2 linked regions of the Macaca fascicularis genome follow. The protein of the gene in region 2 purifies or fractionates together with the protein of the main gene of each other region. This does not show direct contact. Links are inferred from orthologs where the notes say so. Each region holds a gene or a part of one and is shown on either strand. Other genes may lie near its edges.

Region 1 (3,649 bases), on a different chromosome or scaffold from region 2:
CTTTTGGGAGGTCATACAGTCAACATGCACCTTCAAAGGAGGGGCTGGCCCGATCTGGCCTAGGGCCTGCAAGTGGAAAGCAGTCAGCTTTGATTTAAGGGAAGGGTGATTCTGGGAGTTGTAGGGAGAGACGTAGGTTTTCCCATAAACCAGGCTCTGTACTCTCTATACCCACCGTCTCTCCCTCTGTAGCCACGAAGCTTTATTACTAGCATGACTGTTCCATACTCACTCCTCCGTCAACACCGGCAGTCTCTCCCTCCCAGCACGTGGGTCTAAGTTACCTCCACGAAGAGTTTGGTGCACTTGATATCGATGATTAGGGGCACAGAGAAGTCAGCGGCCAAGCGCCGGGTGCGGTAGCCCTTGGTGACAAAGGAAGACAGACGCCGGCCCCCAGCTCCACGCATGGACAGGTTAATCACCAGCTCAAAGTTTTTCTCAGCTAGCTGCTCCAGGATGCTCCGCTGTGGTGGGCACTCACCATCCACAGCCTCCTCAAAGTGCCAGTCCACAGCTGTTACCTGCCAACCAGGAGTCAAGGTCAAGGCCAAGCTGAGCCTGGCAGGGGTCAGGAAAGCTAACCTTCAGGGAGAGGAGCTGGCCGAGGAGCCCATGATGAGGAGACTGAGGATCCATAGGGTGGGGACCGAGGGCTGCCACTATTTGATATTGGCAAAGTATATTTCTTAACGGGAAAGATATCTACACTAAGTAAATAGGTTACCAAGGACTAGGTGCAATATGAGCTCACACATATGTACACAGAAAATTCTGGAAGGAAAAATATCAGAATAGTGGTAGAGAGACTATAAGAGACTTTTCTCTTTGCTTCCTGTGTATTCTGCTTTCTACATGGAATATAGCTTATTAGTATAATGGTAATAATAAAAGCAGGGGAATAGGAGATAATCCTTTTTTTTTTTTTTTTTTTTTTTTTGAGACAGCATCTCACTGTTTCCCAGGCTGGAGTGCAATGGTGCATTCACTGCACACTCACAGCTCACTGCAGCCTCTACCTCCTGGGCTCAAGAAAGTCTCCTGCCTTAACCTCCTGAGTATCTGGGACTACAGGCATATGCCACCATGCTCAGCCCAGATAATTCTTTGGTGCAGTATTTTCACCCCCTTGGGGAAGGGCAACAGTGGGGTACGTTGCCAGAGTTCCTGTACCTTGACTCCATGCTCAGTGTAGAAGTCAGCTGTGCCGAGACTGGCATAGAGGCTGTAGCCCAGGCTCTCCAGTAGTCGCACAGTTGGGAGTAGCTCACTTTTGTTCTGAAACCAAACAGAAGGATGAAATTGTTTTCTTCCTGTCTTCCATTTCAAAGTCAGCCCTGGCTCGGGGAGCCACGGCCCTCAGGAAGTCCACATGGATTCTGGTACCTTATAGCTGCCAATGGTCAGCAGGATATTCTTCTTGGGGATCTTAAAGCCAGTGCTTAGCATGGCCTTGAGGTATGCCTCGCAGCGGCTCTCCCCAAAGCCGGCTACCTCGCCAGTACTGGTCATTTCCACACCCAACACCACGTCAGCACCCGCCAAGCGGGAGAAGGAGAACTGAGGCACCTAAAGGAGCAGGAGGGAAGAGAGAGGGCCAAGGTGTGAGGGGACCTCCTCCCTCACCAGCAGAGACGGACACGGTCCCCTGTTCTTGAGCTCATCTGAATGGCAGGGTCAGCTTGCCCTCTCTGTGTGCCCTACTGCTTTCCAAACATACTTGGGGTTGTCCCTCAGGTTCTGCTTAGGATGTGCCCTTGCAAATAAAAAACCTTACAAGCTCTGCAAATAAAAAACCTTAACCATCCTTCAAAACTCAATTCAAATAGCACCCCTTCTCTCAAGTCTTCCCAGATCACCCGTTTTGGAAGCAGCACCTCCTGTCTCTGAACTCCTGCAGCATTCTGTTTATAGGTCGAATATGTAGTTTTATCACAGCCTGTTCTATACCAAAGTTTTTTTGGGGATGCAACTTCTCTTCCCTCCTATTACCATAAAGTAAGCTCCTAAGGGACAATGACCACCTCATTACCCCCATGATCCGGCAACGCCTTGCAGTCGGTGCCTGGTTTACATGCTGATTGACAGCTCTGTGTGGTGAGTGACCTCTCTCCCGCTATTCTTCTGCTAACCCCAAGGGTTTCAATATTCCTTACCTTTACTCCCACGACTCCAGAACCAGTCATTAGCCCCACAGGTTCCACTTCTTCCCCCATGATGACCCGCGTGGCCAACGCTACTAGGTCCACGCCCAGTGTCTTGGAAACGAAGGGGAATGAGCGAGAGACCCGTACGTTGCATTCAATAACTTTCAGCTGGTCATCCTGGGGCAGAGAAGACTGGTCAGGCCTTCTGCAGGATGGCCTTGCTGACACTATCTATAGGCCTAGACTCTTCCTCTCAGTCACCAGTCTCTGGGGGAATCAGACTGAGCAGGGTTCAGGGTGACTAACTGTCATAAGCCCCAACACCATTAGCTCCAGCTATAGCCCCTTCCCTCAAGCTTCCCTGCCTACTTAGATGAAGGTAGGAGACAGTACAGGGTTTCATGGCACTGTGGCCCTTTAATTCTTTCCTTTAGCCTTATTACCTTGGCAATGAGCTGCAGATTGAAGGGTCCTGTGACCTGTAGCTCCTGGCCCACAGCATGCACAATGGCTTTGATCCGCTCCAGGGTTTTGGCAGTGATATCTTGTGGGGGGGTCACCAGCGTGGCATCACCTGAATGCACACCTGCATTCTCCACATGCTCAGAGATGGCGATGGCTGCCACCACACCATCAGAGGCCACAGCATCCACGTCAATCTCCTGGTGGGGGGACACAGACAGTGTGATGTACGGCCACTTTCTTCTCCCACTTACTCTAGGATTGTCTCTTCCTTTACCAAGCCCCACAGAGCCCACTGTTCCCAGCCCTGGTGCCTATGATTCTGCTGGACCAGAGAAGGAAGTCTCCTCCAGGGCTGGCAGCATGCCCTGAGAGACTTCGCTGTCTGCAGCCTCCCACCTTAGCCTCCTGGATGAACTTGGAGATGACCACAGGATGCTCTTTGGAGACGGCTGCTGCGCTGCTCAGAAAGCGCTCCAGGTCCCCATCCGTGTAGGCCACATTCATAGCAGCACCACTCAGCACATAGGAGGGGCGCACCACACAGGGGTACCCCACGGTCTGGCAGAACTGGCGAGCAGACTACAGGAGGCAGGGAGCTTAGCTGGGTTGTTCACACTCACCCCCAAGAATCATCCAGCCTCCAGGTATCCCACCAGGTCCCAGCCCACCTCGAGGTCACTGAGCTCCCTCCACTGAGGCTGGCTGATACCAATGGTGTCAAGGAGCCGGGAAAACTTGAAACGGTTCTCAGCTGAGTCGATGGCTTCAGGGGAGGTACCCAGCACCCGGCACTGCTGCCGATGCAACGCCATGGCCATGTTGTTGGGCAGCTGTCCACCCATGGATAGGATCACACCTTCAGGGTTCTCGAGCTCATAGATGTCCATCACCACCTACAGTGCAGGGGAAGAAACAAGCGGTGGCAGCAAAAGAGGGCAGGAATCTGAGCCTTCCTGCTCACTGCTTCCCTCAGCCCCCACCAAGTTTAAAAGAATCTTAGGTCAGCCAGCTGTTCGACTCGACCCTGGCCACCCAAG
Region 2 (3,649 bases):
GAAGGACTCTAGAGGGTGAGGTTTCCAGGGCTGGAGAGGGTGGAATGGGAAGGGATGAGGCAGTCTGCTATAGGGGAAGGGGTGCGTGGGCAGGGGCAGGGGGCCTCCGTCCTGGGGGTGGTGCAGTTTCCACACATGGTTCAGACATTGCAAGGGGCTGATCAGTTTGTGGAGTTCCGATCGAGGCAGAGCTGGTCGCAGGCCCTCGCCAAGCTGCTTAAAACAGAGTTGACCAAGGCCTGGTTCCTTCAGAGGCTTGGTGAACTGCGGGGTGTTTCTCACATATGGGGCGCCGAGTGGAGACTCATCCTCCTGTGGGGAGAAACACAGCTGTCAGCACAGAGGGCCAGGGCCAAGGCACAGGCTCCAATTCCAAGGCCCCATGAACCTGCGGTCTGGGCAGTGGGTGGAGGGTCTCACCTGCACTGGGATGGTGCAGCTCTCCTGCTCAGGGGTCCTGGGGAGGGGTTTGGCCAAGGCCACTCCTGCATGAGCCAGGGACTTTGAGCTCTTCTTCTTCCGTTTCTTCCGGGCTTTGCTACGACGCTTTCCCTTCCAACACACACGGGCCATTTTGCCTTCGGTAGCATGGGCCACATTGTTGGGGATCTGATCAAGACTCTCAGACTGGCTGTCAAAAAAGGGACAGATTTGCATATTGAGCACAAGGAGGCAGGAAGAGGCAATGGCCCAGACACTTGTATCTGGACTCCTGCAGATCCAAGGTCAAATCCCAGCTTGCCATTACTTGTGTGAATGCGGCCAAGTTTCTAAATCCCAAGGAACCTCAGTTTTCTCACTTATAAAATGGGTTTGGTATTTTCTGCCATGCAGGGTGGAAATGAGGTTTCAATAATTTAGTTCATTTAAAAAGCCCAGCTCAGTGTCTGGCCCCAAGGCAAGTTGCCAAGAAGCTGTGCTTGTTACTATGGTGATGGGGTACAGACTCAGCACTTCTTGGGGAGAGCTGGGGGAGGAGACACGGTTTGCTCACTGCTCTCCAAGGTCAGCTGCCCCTGGAGAGTTCCCAGGAGGGGGCCAGGCTCATGGCAGGCCTCTCAGCTCTGATTGAGCAGAGCTTGTTTCTGTTGCCTCCGGATGGAGGAACAGATAAGGCTGGTCACCTCCACTCTCACGGTTCCTGGGGGTCCCTGGCTGCTGCTGAAGGTGACACCCTGGGCTGCTGCCTGGTACCGGGGAGCCTGCCCTTCTCTGCTGGCCTCGGGGCTCATCACTGCCATGGCTCTAATTGGACTGGGGTCCCTGCCAAGTATGAAAGGACCTGGCAACAGATGGGTTGCTGCAACAGCTGTGGAGGAGATCATGGCCTCAGCCACCCTCCCTTGGCCTCATCTTCTGTCCCCACAGAGGAGGCAGACTCATGGTAGTCCTGGGGACCACTGGAAGCCTACAGGCTTCTCTTGGACAGCTGAAAGAAGTATGTCTATCAAAGGCTCCTACTCTGGGCCAAAAGGCACCCAGGACAGCAGAAGGAATCCCACCAAATTCTAAGCCTTTCTTGGTTCCAAGGCAGCTGCCCTCCCCACAATCTTATCACTAGCAGGTTCCAAACTCCAGTGATACAAAAACCTGCCTGGTGATAGGGGAGGGAGCTTGAACTCTTTTTTTTTTTGTTTTTTTTTTCCCAGACGGAATCTCACTCTGTCACCAGGCTGGAGTGCAGTGGTGTGATCTCGGCTCACTGCAACCTCCAACTCCCGGATTCAAGCGATTCTCCTCCCTCAGCCTCCCAAGTAGCTCAGATTACAGGCATGCACTATCATGCCCAGCTAATTTTTGTATTTTTAGTAGAGATGGAGTTTCACCATGTTGGTCAGGATGGTCTCGATCTCCTGACCTCGTGATCCACCCGCCTCAGCCTCCCAAAGTGCTGGGATTACAGGCGAGAGCCATCACGCCCGGCACTTGAACTCGTTTCAAAAAATCATCTGTGGGGGAATGCAGAACCTGGGAACAGACTGAGCCCCACCCTGGCTTCCTTTCTACTGGGCCACCAAGTCTATCTGTCCCCTCCTTTTCTACCGCCCGCATCCCTACTTGGTGCATCTCCCAGGAGAAAAGGCACCAGCAGGTTTCTCACATAGAGGACAGTAGAAGGCCCCCTGACCAACCCGAACTGCGCTCACAGTCACGCAAGAGTGGGAAGCAGCTTCTGTTCCCAGTACCCTCCCTGTTGATGGGAAACGAGGAGGTGCATTAAGGACTCTGAGGAGAATAAAAATAAAACGTCAAGTTGATGTGTCCCAGAGGCAGTCAGCCACAAGCTGTGAAAAGCCTTTTGAAAAGCTTATTTGGCTGAGAGAGCGGCTCAGCCAGGAAAGCCTGGGCGAGTTCCAGGAGCTGAACCACAGGTGCTGAGGGAGGGAGCCCGGGGTCAGCAGGAGCGGCCCAGGCAAGCGCTGGGGACGAGGACGCTGGGTCCAGTCCCCGCCTTCCCACTCAGGCTTGTCTCCCCTGCTTACCTGTACTGTTTGGACCCAGCGATGAAAATGCGTTCTGAAAAGGTGGGGCTGAACTCCTGGCTATTCTCACCTAAAGCAAAAGGAGTTAGATTAGCAGAGAGGAGAAAAAATAGGAATTCAGCACTTAGGGGAGAGACATTCTGCAGAGATCCCCTCTGGCGCCTCTCCTTCCCCTCCATTCCAGACAACCGCTGTCTGGCAGTCACCTCCCCACCAATGCCTCCTTCCCGCACTGTCTCCCCAGCTTCTCAGCTTATGGTCAGGAGCAGACCATGGCCTCAGCCACCTGCTCTGAAATAGCCATGCCTATAATATGGGGATCATAGGGTGCCTGCCTCACGTCCTGTGAAGCTGAAGTGAGATGATCTACAGAAAACGCTCAACACAGTGCCTGGCTCATAGGAAAAACAGCTCAGTAAATACCAGCTATTAGGTATTTATATGCGTATGTACATATAAGTGTGGATATATGTGTGTGTATTTTTTTTTAAAATTATGTCACTCACTGCATTTTAGTTTTTATTCTCTCATGTCTCCTCAAAAACCAACCAGGAGGAAGTGGGAGACAAGGGCAGGATGTGTGCGTGTGGAGAAACGCCAGCACGGCTGTCTAGCTCTGCAGGTTCCACCCCAAGAAGCCTACTGAGTTGAGGGAAGGTGTTGGAGAGAAAGGACTCCTGGCCCTACCCAGGCCTCATGGGAGTTTCTGTCTCCAAGGGAAGCCACCATTACTAGTCATCATAAGGTATCATAAGTAGAAGCAGAAAGGACCAGACCAGGCCTCACCCTGCCATGGCCTGCCGCCCCAGGACTGGCCCAGCAGGCTCAAGAGCACGGTGCTCATTCCGGGGGGTGGGGCCATCTCTAGGTGGAAGATGGTGAAGGCCCCACAGGCCCCAGTGGGGCTTTCCAGGAGACCTGGCCTTTCCTGTCTGGAGCCTCTCCAGATACTCGGGCTGCTCAAGGTCACAGCAGAAGGCTGATGGCCTGCTCGATGATTCTGCAGAGTCCCGAGCGCTGTCTGTTACCTCTCTTCCCCTGCTCCAGTCATGATGGACACAGCCTCCCCTTGCCACATTCACCATCTGTGCACTTTTACAACCCCACGTTCCATGATTCTTGGCATAGACCTCTGGTTGTGTCTTGTGAGAATCTTATCTAGCAAT

What was found. Proteins that work in one complex are often made in the same cells at the same time.
Region 1: the proteins of MAP3K14 (region 2) and CAD purify together in Homo sapiens (affinity purification with mass spectrometry; 3 studies listed by BioGRID and IntAct, with this or other methods). This does not show direct contact. The link is inferred for Macaca fascicularis from reciprocal best matches to the Homo sapiens genes MAP3K14 and CAD.

What each region holds. Positions count from the first base shown.
Region 1 is NC_088387.1:94,986,198-94,989,846, forward strand, and holds part of CAD (multifunctional protein CAD), read right to left. Parts: intron 3,506-3,649; coding exon 3,281-3,505; intron 3,192-3,280; coding exon 3,009-3,191; intron 2,810-3,008; coding exon 2,591-2,809; intron 2,325-2,590; coding exon 2,157-2,324; intron 1,570-2,156; coding exon 1,387-1,569; intron 1,279-1,386; coding exon 1,174-1,278; intron 525-1,173; coding exon 285-524; intron 67-284; coding exon 1-66. UniProt on the Homo sapiens protein: Multifunctional protein that encodes the first 3 enzymatic activities of the de novo pyrimidine pathway: carbamoylphosphate synthetase (CPSase; EC 6.3.5.5), aspartate transcarbamylase (ATCase; EC 2.1.3.2) and dihydroorotase (DHOase; EC 3.5.2.3).
Region 2 is NC_088390.1:66,340,554-66,344,202, forward strand, and holds part of MAP3K14 (mitogen-activated protein kinase kinase kinase 14), read right to left. Parts: intron 2,554-3,649; coding exon 2,484-2,553; intron 632-2,483; coding exon 421-631; intron 313-420; coding exon 1-312.